Oryctolagus cuniculus: one gene and its partners. The protein of the gene in region 1 purifies or fractionates together with the protein of each later gene. This does not show direct contact. Links are inferred from orthologs where the notes say so. Each region holds a gene or a part of one and is shown in the gene's direction. Other genes may lie near its edges.

What was found.
Region 2: the proteins of melanoma-associated antigen 10 (region 1) and FAM216A purify together in Homo sapiens (affinity purification with mass spectrometry; 3 studies listed by BioGRID and IntAct, counting the BioPlex papers as one, with this or other methods). This does not show direct contact. The link is inferred for Oryctolagus cuniculus from reciprocal best matches to the Homo sapiens genes MAGEA10 and FAM216A.
Region 3: the proteins of melanoma-associated antigen 10 (region 1) and QSER1 purify together in Homo sapiens (affinity purification with mass spectrometry; 3 studies listed by BioGRID and IntAct, counting the BioPlex papers as one, with this or other methods). This does not show direct contact. The link is inferred for Oryctolagus cuniculus from reciprocal best matches to the Homo sapiens genes MAGEA10 and QSER1.
Region 4: the proteins of melanoma-associated antigen 10 (region 1) and FOXJ2 purify together in Homo sapiens (affinity purification with mass spectrometry; 3 studies listed by BioGRID and IntAct, counting the BioPlex papers as one, with this or other methods). This does not show direct contact. The link is inferred for Oryctolagus cuniculus from reciprocal best matches to the Homo sapiens genes MAGEA10 and FOXJ2.

Annotation. Positions count from the first base shown.
Region 1 is NC_091453.1:130,705,129-130,708,149, reverse strand, and holds melanoma-associated antigen 10, read left to right. Parts: upstream 1-1,232; coding exon 1,233-2,309; 3' UTR 2,310-2,515; downstream 2,516-3,021. Other genes in the region: uncharacterized protein, read right to left, coding at 1,707-1,990. UniProt on the Homo sapiens protein: Not known, though may play a role in embryonal development and tumor transformation or aspects of tumor progression.
Region 2 is NC_091452.1:8,133,335-8,137,453, forward strand, and holds the start of FAM216A (protein FAM216A), read left to right. Parts: upstream 1-1,301; 5' UTR 1,302-1,372; coding exon 1,373-1,455; intron 1,456-2,254; coding exon of another isoform or gene 2,255-2,255; coding exon 2,256-2,296; intron 2,297-3,636; coding exon 3,637-3,758; intron 3,759-4,119. Other genes in the region: GPN3 (GPN-loop GTPase 3), read right to left, coding at 635-802.
Region 3 is NC_091432.1:33,054,685-33,058,794, reverse strand, and holds the start of QSER1 (glutamine and serine-rich protein 1), read left to right. Parts: upstream 1-1,310; 5' UTR 1,311-1,442; coding exon 1,443-1,618; intron 1,619-1,868; exon of another isoform or gene 1,869-2,663; intron 2,664-3,360; exon of another isoform or gene 3,361-3,461; intron 3,462-4,110. UniProt on the Homo sapiens protein: Plays an essential role in the protection and maintenance of transcriptional and developmental programs.
Region 4 is NC_091440.1:101,893,494-101,897,734, forward strand, and holds the start of FOXJ2 (forkhead box protein J2), read left to right. Parts: upstream 1-1,397; 5' UTR 1,398-1,596; coding exon 1,597-1,606; intron 1,607-4,241.

The DNA of each region.
Region 1 (3,021 bases):
CAGAGGCAAGAGTCCCAGATAATGCCGTTTTTCAGACTTAGGACTGAGGAAATATCCTTCAACAGAACAGAAAGAATCCCAGCCCCATCCTGCCCTTTAGTAAGCCATGAGAAGATATGGGACACTTCCTCTTTAACATCTCATGAAAATTATAGCCTCAGATCACAGAGAGAATTATTTCAGGCCCAACCAAATATAAAAGTTAGGACTTGGGGGACCCTCTCATCTCAATATAGTTGGACCCCACACTTGCCATCCTCTTCTTTTTTATTTTTGTTTTTTAAAAATATTTATTTATTTGAAAGAATGGCAGAAAGATAATCCATCCACTGGTTAATTCCCAAGATGGCCACGATGGCTGGGGCTGGGCCAGGCCAAAGCCAGGAACCAACAGCTTCATCCTGGTCTCCCACGTGGGTGATAGGTGCCCAAATACTTGAGCTGTCTTCTGCAGCTTTTCCCAGGCCAATAGCAAGGAACTGGATCAGACATAGAACAGCAGGGTCACAAACTGTTGCTATGAGGCTTTGCCAGGTGTTGCCAGATGTGAGACCCTTCACTGCTTCTTGTTGCCTCTTAGGGAGGTGAACTTCTGCTTTGTGTTGCTTCAGGACAGCAGAGTGGTAGAGTCTAAACTGCCAGAGGAAATTGAGAACTCTAAGTGGGTGCAAAGGGGATCTTCCACTTTTTAACAGTGAGGACCTCTCAGAACCTAACACACTTTCCTGACTGGTGGGCCCAGGGTGATACTTGCAGTCTGAACTCTAGACTCCCCTCTATTCTTCTTATAGGAGCTCCAGAAACCTGCTGGTCAAAGACTTATGTGAGACAGTGCACTTAGGTCACAGAGAAGACAAGGCTGAAGCAGTGCCAAGACTCAAGGTGAGGTACATCCCTTGAATGTGGATTGCAAACCACCAGCAGAACACAAGGGACCCCACAGTGCTTGACTCCAACCCACCCTCACTGACAGCCCTGGATTCTCACTCTCTGCTGACCCGTTTCTTTGCACTTCTCATGGTACTGTCTCACCAGTAGGACAGGATCTGTGTGAGGCACTAGTGCACCACAACCCAAAGAGAAAAAATGTAAGTGGGCTTTTGCCAAAACAGCCAAGGGTGCAGTTTTCAATTGATGTCACTCACATGGTCCCTTTCTCTTTTAGGCCTGTGGGGTCCCCATAACCCAGCTGCTGCCCATTCTTTTGCCTGCTGCCTCCAACGAGAGTCATCATGCCTCGAGCTCCAAAGCGTCGGCGGTATGTGCTTGAAGAAGACCTTCAGGCCCAAATTGAGACACAGAACATTACGGATGAGGATGCTTCTTCATCCTCCTCTACCTGTTCTTCCTCTTTTCCCTCCTCTTCCTCCTCTTCGACATCCTCCTCTTTCTATTCTCTAATGTCAAGCACCTCAGAGGAGGTTTTTGATGATGATAGCACACAGAGTTCTCTCCAGAGTCCTCAGGTATCCTGTTCCTCCTCTACTGGCATGACCTCCACTCCATGGGGCCAATCCAGTGAGGGTACCAGCAGCCAAGATAAGGAGGGTCCTAGCACCTCACAGGCCCTGAGAGAGCCTGAGTCTTTTCTCAGAAGTAAGATAGAGGAAAAGGTGTCTAATTTGGTGGAGTTCTTGCTCTTCAAGTATCAGACAAATGCTCCCACCACCAAGGAAGAAATGCTGATGTGTGTCATTCAGAATTACCAGGATCACTTTCCTGTGATCCTCAGTGAAGCCTCTGAATGCATGCAGCTGGTCTTTGGCATTGATGTAAAGGAAGTGGACCCCACTAACCACTCCTATGCCCTCGTTATCTCCCTGGGCCTCACCTATGATGGGTTGCTTAGTGATGTCCAGGGCATGCCCAAGACTGGCCTCCTGATACTTATCCTGAGTGTCATTTTCATGAGTGGTAACTATGCCCCTGAGGAAGAGATCTGGGATGTGCTGATTGGGATGGGGTTGTCTCTTGGGGAGAGGCACTATATCTATGGGAAGCCCGAAAAGTTACTCACAGAAGATTGGGTGCAAGAAGGGTACTTGGAGTGGCGTCAGGTACCCAACAGTGATCCTGCTCGCTATGAGTTCCTGTGGGGTCCAAGGGCCCATGCTGAGATCAGCAAGATGAGTCTTCTGGAGTTTTTGGCCAAGATCAATGGAAGTGATCCAAGATCCTTCCCAGTATGGTATGAGGAGGCTTTGAGAGATGAGGCAGAGAGAGCCCAGGCCAGAATTGCCACAGTAGATACTACTGCCATGGCCAGTGCCAGTTCTATTGCCAGCATCAGCATCTCCTACCCTGAGTAAAATTAGGCAGATTCTTCACTCTGTTCTCAGAGTGAAGTCAAAAGTCTCAGTAGTGGAGGGTCAGGCTGGACCTAGAGGTAATGAATTGTATAATATCTTTATCTTACTGCTTTCTTTAGAGGATTTAGGGATTTATCTTCTTTATATCGAACATTTAAAAATGTTGTTACTTTTACTAAAAGGTTGATTAGCTTCTAAATATTTGTTAATTAATTATATTTCTCACATATTTATTTTTTTTTCAGAATAAGCAAATGAGTTTTTGCTATTTTGTAAAACCAGTTGGGAAGCCCTCCATCTTGTTTGTAATTTGGAACAAAATTCCATGGCAGTAGAATATTCGTATCCTTGGAAAAGTAAAAGCATTTAGCAATACATAGAGAAAAAAGCTAAGTGTTATCATATTGATTCCCTTATCCCTTTCAGTGTGTTACTCTGAAAGATTAAAAGATAAGTTTCTATATCTTGTTAGATTATTCAGGTGCAAATTAAACTGTAATAAACACAACTCTTGTTTTCTGGCTTATTTCTTCCCCAAACTTGTGTTGAGTATCTGCTTTGTGGAAGGCCATGTGCTGAGTGGAGATTCTGGTTCAAGCCACACCCACCCTAGCAGAGAAGGGTAGAGTCCAGCAGCAGCCACGATAGGAGGAAGATGGAGAGATGTCCTCTGAGACCCACAGAATCAGGGAAAGACAGCTGAGCAGCTGGG
Region 2 (4,119 bases), on another chromosome or scaffold:
TGGCCATTGCAGCCAATTGGGGAGTGAACCAGCGGATGGAAGACCTCTCTCTCTCTGCCTCTCCTTCTCTCTAACTCTGACTCTGACTTTCAAATAAATAAAATAAGTCCTTTTTTTAAAAAATGGAGCTACGTTAGAAGCCAGCGTAGCTTCACCGCAGTGGAATCCAGAAGGGGAAGGGGGAATGTTCTGAGCATACGAGCCGATGTTCCGTAACGCGGGGTCCCACTGCCATCTAAAATCCCTTCAAATACCAGAAGTCCACGTCCCAGGCTTTGGGAAACACCCACAAAGACCCCACTTTAGTCTCCTGGGAGGGAGAAAGGACAGGATTCTGGAGTCAGAAAAACAAAACAAACCCGGATTCCAGTTCAGGTCCCGACTCGTACGCGCGCGACCTTCCCTAAACGGGAATAAGAAGACCCATCTCCTAGGGTTGGGCTACTCCAACCCGGGGCCTAAGCGTCCACCAACAACCGCCACGACCCCCTTGCAAGACGACAGGACCCCGAAGACCGAGAGCAGAAGCGAACGGCGCGGAGTCTCAAGGCCCTCGGTACACGCCCTTCTCTCAGGACCGAACCCTCGCCTCACACGGGTTACGATCTTTCTCTCCTTTCCCACCAAATCTCACCTTCCCGCTGCCGGCGGGGCCCATGACCAGCTGCGCGTAACGAGGCATGCCGACCCTCGGCTTCTCCAGGGCCGTACGGCACACTTCCCGCTTCAGCCTTGGCGCCACGCCCACCCACTTCCGGGAGCGCGAGGTGCGAACCAATCGCAACCGAAGCTCCTTATACATTTCCGGGTAAGTCACACCTCCGGCTACGGAACGTTCCGCGGGCCAAGTCCCGTGAGAAACGCGTCCGGGAGACACGGAAGGGGCGGGGAGGAGAGAGGTGGGAGGGAGGGAGGGAGAGAGTGAAGGAGGAGGTCTTGCGCGTGCGCAGAAGCGGCTGGCGGAAACCCGCGGTTGGGTAGCCGCCGGAGCCTGGTTGCCAGGGAGACAAAGGATAACGGCAAACGCTCAGCATCCCTGATTCTTGGTTTGCGCATTGGCGTTGGGCTCGGACGGTGCCACCCAAGCTTTGCAAATGTGCTGAGGGTCTGGAACCCTGAGGTGGAAGGCACCTCGTGTTCAGGGGAGCGTGTGCGTTTCGTTCCCGTGACGCGTCCCTTGCACAAAAAGATGCGAAAGCACAGACTCGCCACCAAGTAACGCACTCCCGCAGATCCGGGGTCGTGGGTCTCCTAGCCCTCCCAGCTTCCCGAGGTGTCGCCCCGACACCTCCCGCCTGACGCACGCGTGCAGAGGGGGCAGGGGCAGGGCCCGCTTCTCCCGCACGCAGCTCGCCGTCCGGGCGCCGGGGAGATGCCGGGCCGGGGGCCGGGGGCCGACTCTTCGGCCGAGCCGCCCGCGGTGGCCGGGACCGAGGGCGGCGGCGGCGGCGGCGGGTGAGGCCGGGGGCCCGGAGGGGCTGGGGGGACGGCGCCCAGCCCGGGGTCGTGAGCGCCCGGGAGGGCGGGGGCGGGCGGCGGCCGTGGCCGGGGGGGGGGGGACGCTCGGAGCCGAGTGCGAGGACTGCGTGGAGTTTTCGGGCCCCGCCGGGGACGCTTTGGCGTCGGCCCCCGGGGGTCGCCCAGAGGCGGAGGGCGGGCGGCGCCCCCGGGCCGCGCGGGGCCCTGTGTCTGAGGTTGGCTGAGGGGCTGTTAACGGCGGGGGCCACGGCCCTTGGCAGGGATCAGATCTGGGAACACGCGGTAGCAGGCGGGATGGAGGGCATTCGGTCTTAATTTGAAAAAAAGGAAAAAAACTGTACCAAATTACAACATTACAGGCCAAGGTATCCGTTCCCGCATCCCTTAATCACTGTTCAAAGGGCTGCCTTCAAAACCCCAGTTATTTTATTTAAAATAGAGTAAGAAAATACCATGGATTAATAACGCAGGAGCCCGAACCAGTTTTATTGAGCTCGCTGTAGGCATTAGATTGGGAAGCTATAAAGGTAAGACCAAATCTGGCCTAGAATAAATAAATACATACAGACAGACTGGAATACATCCTTTCTAGTATGGTGAAAAGCTCAGATAACACACTGCGAGAAAACTCGCAGCCATCAGGATTTAAGCAGAATTGCAGGTGATCTGCAAGACATACATGAAAAATAAAACGCATATGCAATAGTTACCGTTTGAAGTATGTTCTTAGTGCTTAAGAAGTTTGTCAATTATCATGTATTTCTCTTTTTTAACAGATCAGTTGGACATTCTTACCACCAAAATTCCAAAGGTACCGGTGAGTAGTGCATAGAAAACAGATAATACCTAGAAATAGCATGTTTCAAAGAAGCCAATTTGCCTATAAGTACCTACAAAATGGAGTTTTTTGTTTGTTTGTTTGTTTGACAGGCAGTAAGTGAGAGAGAGAAACAGAGAGAAAAGTCTTCCTTCCGTTGGTTCACTCCCCTAATGGCTGCTATGGCTGGTGCTGTGCCAATCCGAAGCCAGGAGCCAGGTGCTTCCTCCTGGTCTCCCATGTGGGTGCAGGGCCCAAGCACCTGGGCCATCCTCCACTGCACTCCCTGGCCACAGCAGAGAGCTGGCCTGGAAGAGGGGCAACCGGGACAGAATCCAGCGCCCCGACCAGGACTAGTACCCAGGGTGCCAGCGCCACAGGTGGAGGATTAGCCTAGTGAGCCACACAATGGAGTTTTAAAAATAAACTGTTGGCATCCCCAGTAGCTCTTAGTCTCTGAGTTTCAAAGAACAATCTAGTGGGTTCTTCCTCTTCAGGTAATGAGCTCAAGCAGGCATTTTAAAGTTAGCAATGAATTCTACAAGTGCTGTGTTCATGGCTGAATCAGCTCAGACTGAAGGTGAAAACTTCACTGAGCAGTTCCCAACACCATAAATACTTCTCAGCGCTGACATTTTCCTCTCACTTGAATGACTGAGTTCTCAAAAACACTCCCCTCTTCTCTGCTGGAGTGAAGGGACACAAACAAGTCCCTGAAGGCCTCTTGCTAGTGACCTTGTTGTGGGGAGGGGAGGTAGAATTCACTCATTACATACCTATCTGTATTCAATACAGTAAGTTAGTTTTTATGTGTTCATTTACATTTAATGATATGCAAACTTGGGTTCACTTAGCTTTACTTTAGAAAAATATATAGTCCTTATAATTTCATAGGGGAAAAAAGGCACACTCCCATATCTGAAAATATATAAATAAATACAGGTTGAATATCTCTTAATTGAAAAGCTTAAGATCAGAAGAATTTCAGATTTTGGAATATTTGCATATAGGTAATGATGTTAGGGAGGGGCCCGAGTCTAAATATGCAATTTGTATTTTGGAGCTGCGCTGATTTGAAGCCAGAGCTTCTCTGGGTCTCCCACCTGGGTGCAGGGGCCCAAGGACTTGGGCCATCCTTCACTGTTATCACAGGTCACAGCAGAGAGCTGGATCAGAAGTGGAGCAGCTGGGACTCAAACTGGGGCCCATATGGAATGCTGGTACTTCAGGCGGCAGTTTTACCTGCTACACCACACGCTGGCTCCAGTACTTAGATCTTAATAAATTTGTGAGCTGATCTTTGTCTCTGAAATTCGTATGATTATGTCCTTGGCCCACAGATAAAACCAAAGGTGGACACAAAGTGAACTCTCACATAGCCAAGATACAAGGGTTATGGAAAACGCCTCAAATTCAAACAATTCACATCCCTAAATTGATGACAGACACATCCATTCTAAAGGTATGCCAACAGGGAACTATTCAAATACAGCATTCTTTGTATTCAGAGCTTTTCTTGAAGATAAGCCACCTAGATGGTGAGGCACTGCAGATGACAGGCCAGGAGGCTGTCCAGCAGTCAGTGTCTGGAGGACACATTCATGACTGAATGTTCGGATCACAGATTCCCTAAGAGTTCTTTCAGGGCTTCGTCCTTCACTCAGGACACTTAATGCCCCAACCACAAAGATATTCACTCAAGAAAAACTTCATACTAGGAAACTCAACCTCATAAAGATTTTATTCAAGAACTACAACATTAGAGTAAGTGAAGAAAGTGGCAATACGGATTTTATAAATGCTGACATGTAGCCCTCATTAAC
Region 3 (4,110 bases), on another chromosome or scaffold:
GTTTAAACTGCTTTTCAAATGGTCATCAGCGACAGTGTGTCCTGTTTATTATAAAGCTCTATGCTGGGCTTATCTTGAGGGGTAGATTTCTGGGTTGAAGCCATAGTGATTTTTCCAAAGGGAGGTAGGTAGGTGGTCATTATGCTTTACTGTCATTTTGACTTTTAATTTCTGTCTTAAGGGCCGAACGATTTCCACGACCTTCACTACTCCTGAGAAGGAACACAGACAGCGTTGATATGCAACAGAAGATCCTCAATAGTCACTCATTACCCAAACCAAACACTCGCAGGTCAGCTAAGAAACGTCCGGGTGCAGCCCTGCTAACGCACCAAGCCTCAAATACACAACAAAAAACCCAACGTAGAGTGCGTGGGGCGTTTAAATTTTCTGAAAGTCATCCAGAAGGTAGGTGGACTAATCAGTGAAGAGGCAGTATTTGTCTCGGGACAGGAGATTCTGAAACGCACAGCGAGCAAATCCCCGAAGTGGGGGTGGGGACAGTTAATAAGAACCCCTGGGAAAGGCCCTTTCAGCAAGGATTGGAAAATAATACATTTGAATTTGAATCTCTTTTGAATATAAATCTCCCTTAACAGCAGGAAAAGAGTCCCGTAGCCCTGCAAGCTTTGGGCAGGAAGGAGGTAAACCAACTGTAAAACAGCTCGTTCAGCTGTTTTTGCTTCGGAGCGCAGGGAGAGAAACAGCGACCTGGGAACCGAATATTTGAGTCCCTCAAAATAACCCGAAGGGTCAACAACGAAGTCCAGGCCGAAGCGCTGACAGCCTCCCGCTTTGCCGCACCTTACACCCCACGCTAGGTTGCCGCTCGCTGTCCCCTCCCCCGCGCCGGGCCACCGGCAGGCGCGGCCCCTTCCCACGCGGGGCGCGGCGAGCGCGGACAGCGCTGCTCCGAGGTGCGGAGGGCGGGAAGTCTGCCGCCCGCCGACTCCACTGGCTCCGGCTAGCGGGCGCTCCTCCGCCGCGGCTGCCCCTCGTGAGGCGGCCGGTAGCGGCGGAGGCCTCGCTGGCCGCCCGCCTGGCCCGCGAGCTGAGAGCGCGGGGCGCCGAGGGGAGGCGGGGCGAGGCCGCGGGGCGGAGGGGGGCGGGAGGTGCATCCTGGGAAATCCACCAACATGGGGCGAAGCGGCCGCCGCCGCCGCCGTCGCCGCCGCCGCGAGTCCCGGCCGCGGGTGCCGCCGCTTCCCTGACGGCCCTCTGGGGCCTCGCCGCCCGCTGCGGCCCGGGTTCTTGCGGCACAGACTCGCCAGCGCGCCCTCCTCCCGTCTGCCCGCCGGGGCCATGTGAGGGGGCAGCTCCCTCGACCGCCGCCTCCTCCTCCTCCTCTTCCTCCCCCCGCCCCTCCCTCCCTTCCCGCCCCCCTCTCACAGGGCCCTAGAGGAGCCCCCACAGCTGCCCGCCCTCCCTACGCAACCCCCACGATGGACAGGAACTACGCGACCTCGGGCTTCGCGGACCCGCCGCCGCCTCCCGCGCCCCCCGCCAGCGCCGCCGCACAGCCCCCCACCCCGACCTGGGCCTACGAACCCCGATCCGCGGCCGCCGCCGCCAGCAGCAGCTGCAGCAGCAGCGGCAGCAGCCCCAGCCTCAAGGCCAGGTAGGGAGGGTGGGCGGCGGGGTCGCGGTGGGCCAGGAAAGGCCGGGGATGTGTTTGGGGCCTTCGCGCGGGTGCAGCGCCGCCCAGGGGTCCGGGCCCGGCGGGGAGCCCTCCGTTCGCCCTTGCTCCCGCTCAGGGGAGGGGGCTGATGACTCCTATGGGGTGGTCCCCGGGGAGTGGGGGACGCCTGGTGCAGGATTCGCGCCTGGGGCTGGCGGGGGGGTGGGGTGGACCGTGGCTGGAAGAAGGGCTGGGCGGGAGTCTTGGGGCTCCGTCACCTCCCGGTCCTGGGCTCTCACATGGTGAAGTTTGGGCTCGTGGCTGAACTCGGGATCCGGGAGAGCCCCAGGGCTGGCTCCTGCGGGCGGAGGGAGGCGCCGGGGACTTCGGGGCAGTGACATTCCATTGTATGGGAACCTCGGTGGCCCACAGTGTGGTCTCGGGGGCCTCGGCGGCCAGGGTGGGGGAAGCGGGAGAGGAAGAGGCGCAGAGCTGTGTCCCCTCACCCTGGGGGACCCAGGAGGACTGGGCTAGCCAGAACCTCCGGGGCTCGGGGCCGAGGAGGGGGCCCGGCGGGGCGCGAGTGCTGCGCCGGGGCTGGGTGACATATGTTTGCACTGGTGGCCAAGATCGAGCGATTTCTCTTCCACGCGTTCGAAGTTGCTCTTGGGTTTCCTCCCGTTTTAACAACAGCAGGAAGTAAGGGATCTCTCGGCGCTTTCTGGACCTTGGGGGTGACTGAGAGTTGGGGAGAAATTGGGTAGGGGGAGTCACTGACGGCCATAAAGGTTCCAGAACCGAAGCATGCTTCTCCATCTCGGCTTCGTTACGTAGCGTGGGGTTCAAGAGTTCATCTGTCCTCCAGCAGGACCAAGGGAATCTAAAATGTTGGCTCCTGCTTGATACTTAAGCTCGCGGGAAATGTGTAGTAGTGGCACACGGTGTAGCAGTCCAATTTGAATGATAACTGGAAGGCGTGGTCTGGCTTGGAGGATTCGGGAGCCGGGTGTTTTAAAGCCACCTCTCCGGAACAATACTGAATCTGGTAGGTGCAGCTTCTGATTACAAGGACCAGGGAATCCTGGGTTGCTAATGACTTCATCCCCAGCTACCAACAGGAAGCTTCGTGGCTTTGTGATCTCATCAGGTTTCTTCATTATTTGCACGACAGAAGTGAACTTTTTTTTTTTTACTTAATATATTACAGTGTTCTAGGTTGTCGTCTTTGTTTGTATGCAAGTTCCACGGTCATGATTTGGAAAATATGTGTGACGAATAGCTGTTCTTTGTCTTAGATTGTACCTTGGGATGATTGTGAAAGAATGAGAAAAATTTTCTTTAAGAAAGAGGGGGGAAAAACCTTGTTAGAAAATTTTAGGTCCTTTGTTTAAAAGAGCGGGGAGAAAAAATAAATGTGGTATACCAGTTTGGAGCTAAATAATTCAGCGCTGAAACCTTTCACAAATAGCAGTCATTTTGTATTATATATAAGTAAGCTGTTACAAGAAGTTTCATGAAAAACATTTGACACTTTTCCTATTCTTTTTTTTGTGATAATTTAACCATCGTTTTCCAAGTAGCTTTTGCATTGAATATGATGATTTTCACAAGTTAAGATTGCTTGCTGTTTAGTGAACAGCAGTGATAGCTGTTTGTGCAGAATATTTTGTTTCAAATGGAAAATGTATTAGGTAAATGAAAATGAAATACTATCTAGTTTTTTTTTCTGTTATTTCTTTTAGCAGAATACTTCTGAGGCAAGAATCTAAAAATCCAATTGTCATATTTTCCAAATGTTATTTATCAAAGTAACAGAGTGACTCCCCAAACATATTTGAAAACAGTAAGTAGATTCACTTGGACCATGGAATCTAAAAGAGACTTATTTTCTGGTTTTTTTTTTTTTTTTTAATTACTAATTCTTAAATGTTAGCCCTCCTGCTTTAAAAAAGGGTTTCGGGGGTGGGGTCAGCTGAATTATAGCCTTGAAAATGCAGGCTTTCCCCTCCCCCATTAACCTGCTTTGTTAACATCTTGTGTCAGGATCAGGCCATCTGTACAGGGCTGTACACACTTCTTAATTGTACCTCATTTTATTTCTCAAACTGTGCAAAAGTCCTCTTTAATTCAGTTACATCAAAAATCCTGAATCTTAAATAGCCCTGTAAGTCTTAAAATATTCTACATTTCAGAAGCTTATTCATATTTTTATGACATTTAAAAAAGCTTTTTCATAATTCATGCACCAGTTGAATGTTTTTGTTCCCCTTTGTGGCAGTTTCTTCTGAAGGTGCAAATGAGTACAGTAGGATGATGTAATGTGGATATTTATCCATAAAGAATTAGCCTGTCTGTCACCTTGTTTCCTGTAACCTATTCAAAAGCTGACAGATGGTAATGACATTTAGTTGTTACTGACACAGGATCCAACATCCTATGTCTTTGCTTGTTCTTGAAATGCAGCGTTTTCATCAACTGATGGGAACATGCAT
Region 4 (4,241 bases), on another chromosome or scaffold:
ACTGGCCAAATGCTCCTAATGGCTGGAGTTGGGCTTGGGCTGGGTTGGCCAGGAGCCAAGAACTCAATCTGGGTCCCCCACATGGGTGGCAGGGACCCAAGTCCTTGAGCCAGCACCTGCTGCAGGAAGGCGGAATTCGGAGCCGGAGCCAGAGCAGGAAACAACCTAGGCACTCCGATATGGCACTTGAGTGTCTTGACCTGGATCCCAACTGCTAGGCCTAACACCTGCCCCCAGGAACTTGAAGTCCCCTCATACATGCGTGCTGGGAGGCAAAGGATTCTTTAATTCACATAATACAGATGGTATCTCTCAATACTTTCCAATAGCAAGTTCTTCCCAGTCTCTAGTGTCAGACTACAGGTTAGACACTTTATTTCCCATTCTCTGGATGCAGAAGTTATATTTTCACAATTCCCACCCATCATTTCAATTTCTCTAGGAAGAGAGCTTTCCAATGTTGAAGATCTCTAGGTGCTTAAGAAGAAATGGCAGCATTTTCCTCTGGCCCGTGGCTTCCCAGCCAGGTCAGGAAGCTGACTCACTCTGAGCTTACCTACGTTAACCCAGGTGGTTAAGTGAGCGTGTAACGCTTCTTCAGGGTTGCACGACTGGCATAAGTGCTTTAAAAAACATATTCTAAACATCTGGCCGCTGCAGGATTTGTCTAGCATACTTCAGTCTCCTCACTCCAGCTTGGCTCAGGTCCACCCTACAAAGCCAGGCGGGAGACACGCAGTCCCCACCCAGCGAAGATTCCCGTGTGACTAACGCCCTTCCTGCAGACAAATCTTCGCAGCCCTCCCCACCCGCCTTCTCCACTCACTCTACGAAGGCTTTGGTAGCCCGCCTGCGTGGACGCCGTCACCTAGGGTCGGTCTTAGCTCTCGCCCACTTATGCCTCAGTTTCCCCATCGTTCTCTACATACAGGCAGGGTTAAACCCTACGCTCTTCCTTGTCCTCTCGTTCATCCTTTCGGGCAATGTAGTTTGGCAAATCTGGGCCCAAAGGTGCCTACGGATTCCATTATCGCGCGCATTCCAGGCGAGGTATCGCAGACGCCGGCTTGCGAGAAGTAAACAGGAAACCAGCGATCCCACGCAGGAAATGACCTTGTTTGAGGGCAGCGAGGGAGCCGCGGATTTCCCTCGTTTCCCTTTCTAAACTCACTTCCGGGTTTCAATCACTTTGGTCCTTCCCTACAAATGCCGGAGTCCGGGTAGCTCTTCCCGGTCCCAACCTACACTTCGCCCCGAGAGAATGGCCAATAGGCCCGTCCCCGTAGTTGACATTTTTATGCTTCGTTTTACATCATTGCAAATCTCAACCAATCAGTAGTTGCGATAGGAGGTACCAAAATAGTCTTCACTTCCTCCCCTTGCCGGCGTCACCCTGTGATAGAAGAATGACTCAGCCAATCAACGAGCAGGCTTGGGCCCGGCCTACGCCAGGTCCAGCCAATCAGAATAATGACGGGGAACTGGGGCGGGGAATGGAAAACTTGCCCCCTCTTTTGGAAATGATTTTTGAAGAGGTGCGTCGCGAACCGGGGAAGTCACAACTCTCTGCAAACGATCGCAGCGGCCGTAGATCTTATGTGCCCAGGTCTGTCCCCCTTCGACTCCGCCCCAAGATGGGCTCACATTCCACCCTCGCCCCTGTTTGGGTAGACGCAACGGCGTCCCTGGAAAAAAATCCCAGCCCCAGCAGCCCGGGTTGCAAAAACGCCGCACCCCGTGCGGGACGAGGAGGGGGCAGGAGAAACCCTGCAGCCGCGGCGCCAGTCTTTCGATTCAGTGCGTCTCTCCTCCCGGCCCCACGTTCCCGGGCCGCAGCTGACACGGGGCTGGGAGGAGCCGAGGGCCTGCTCGGTTTGGGGAGAGGCGAAAACTTCTTAAGGTGGAACAGAGCGGTTGCGGGGCCAGGCCTCCCAGCCGCCGGACCTGGCTTCCCACGGCTCCTCCAGCCTTATCCAGGCTTATTGTCAGGGAGCACTAAAGAGGGTGGGCAGAGCAGATACAGATCACTGTAGACAACTTTAATAAACAGCCTTGTAAGGGAGATACTGACTCTGCAGGGAACTTTTTCCTTGGGATGGAATCTCTCTGGTTCGGTTCTATTCTTTCCTCCTCCCAAGATGACCTTTTAAAGTAGCAGCTAGAATTGTCCTGCTGTGCACAAGGGAGCTCAAGGTTCGATGACAGACATTCCTGAATGAGTCGCGCGCGTCCTATGCTGGCTTTGTCTTCCTCCACTAGAGCTGACCACAGCCATGCGAGAAAGCAAGAACCTTGTGTGTAGCGGCTGCGGGTTGCCCCCGGCGCCGTTTGTCACGGTGAACCGGGAATGCAGGAGGTACATTGTATGGTCCCTCAGTCTGGTCTTGGCGTTGCTCAGTCTTCTCATTTGCAAAATGACGGTATCTGGCCACCTGGAAGGTGTAGTGTGCGTGCTGATGGACACAGTGCAAATGCAAACACCTTGTACTCTGACGGGTGAAACAAACGTTAGATCCTACGCATACAAAACACATACATAATAGCAAACACAGTCCTTACCATTCTACAGCATTTTTAAACAGAATAAAAAAAAAGTCTATCAAACAGATACAAAAGTAGAGAGAACAGTATTTTTCTAGAGTTGTAATAAGCAACTTTTGGCCAAGTTTGTATCATCACTCCCTCTCCCCTCCATCACTTGATTATTTTGAGGTAGATTTCAGGTATTTCATGCCTAAGTAGTTCAGCATGCATTTTTTTTTAAAGATTTATTTATTTGAAAGAGTTACAGAAAGAGGTAGAGACAGAGAGAGAAGTCTTCCATCTGCTGGTTCACTCCCCAGATGGCTGCAATGGCCGGAGCTGCGCTGATCCAAAGACAGGGGCCAGGAGCTTCCTCTGGGTCTCCCACGTGGGTGCAGGGGCCCAAGCACTTGGGCTATCTGCTGCTGCTTTCCCAGGCCATAGCAGAGAGCTGGATCGGAAGAGGAACAGTCGAGACTAGAACCGACGGCCATATGGGATGCCGGCACTTCAGGCCAGGGCGTTAACCCACTGCGCCACAGCACCAGCCCCTCAGCATGCATTTTTAAAAATAAGGATTTTTTAAAAAACACATTTCCATGAACACACTTAAAATAAAGCAACGATTCCTTGATATCACCCAGTGAGTACGGACATTGTATCAATTGTCTCATATATTTGTTCCAGTTGTTTGCTTCTAGTCAGGATCTTCCCCAATGTTCCACACGTTATATTCCGTGGATATGTCTCTTGGACAATATATATTGCATTGACTGAGTCTTTTAAGCCTCTGTTCATCTCTGGAGGTCCCTTCCCTCCAACACTTGGCTGATGTGTAAGTCACTCAGCTCTTCCACAGCACTGGGAAGCTGGGTCCTCTTGTCATGTCTGCTTCACTGATGAGAAAACCAAGTCACAAAGCAGTTGAGTGACTTTCCGAAGAACTCAGTCATTAAGTATTAAAGCTGAGATTTGAATAGATCATGAGCTTTCCCTCCATCTTTTATTTCATTCAATACATCAATCTTTAATAAATGCTTCCAACACGTGCTTTTGTGGCACGTTAGTCGCCAATAGTATGTAAAAGTTTTACTCAAGGTAGACTCCAGCAAAGACGTATACAGAAATTTATACACACATACATATATTTCAAGAAACAACTACATGATTGTATGATACAAACTATAAAAACATGATTTCCTCACTTGAATACTTTCAGACTTATGAAAAAAAATGGTTCCTTAAAATAATACATACTGGGGTTGGAGTTGTGGTGCATCAGGGTAAGCAATGGCTTGGGACATTTGCATCCCATTATCAGGGTGCCAGTTCAAGTCCTGGCTGTTCCACTTCTGATCCAGCTTCATGTTAATGTATCTGGGAAGGCAGCAGATGATGGCCCAAGTGCTTGGACCCCTAGCACCCATGTGGGAGACAAAGAATGGAGTTCCTGGCTCCTGCCTTCTGCTAGACCAAGACCTGGCTATTTCAGACATTTGGGGAGTAAACCAGTGGATGGAAGATACAGCTCTCTGTCTCTCCCTCTTTTTCTCATCTGCCTTTTGAATAAATAATTAGATCTTTTTAAAAAATGATTTATTTATTTGAAAGGCAGAGTTGCAGAGAGGCAGAAAGAGAGAGAGGTCTTCCATCCACTGGTACATTCCCCAGATGGCTGCAACTGCCGGAGCTGGGCCGATCCAAAGCCAGGAGCTTCT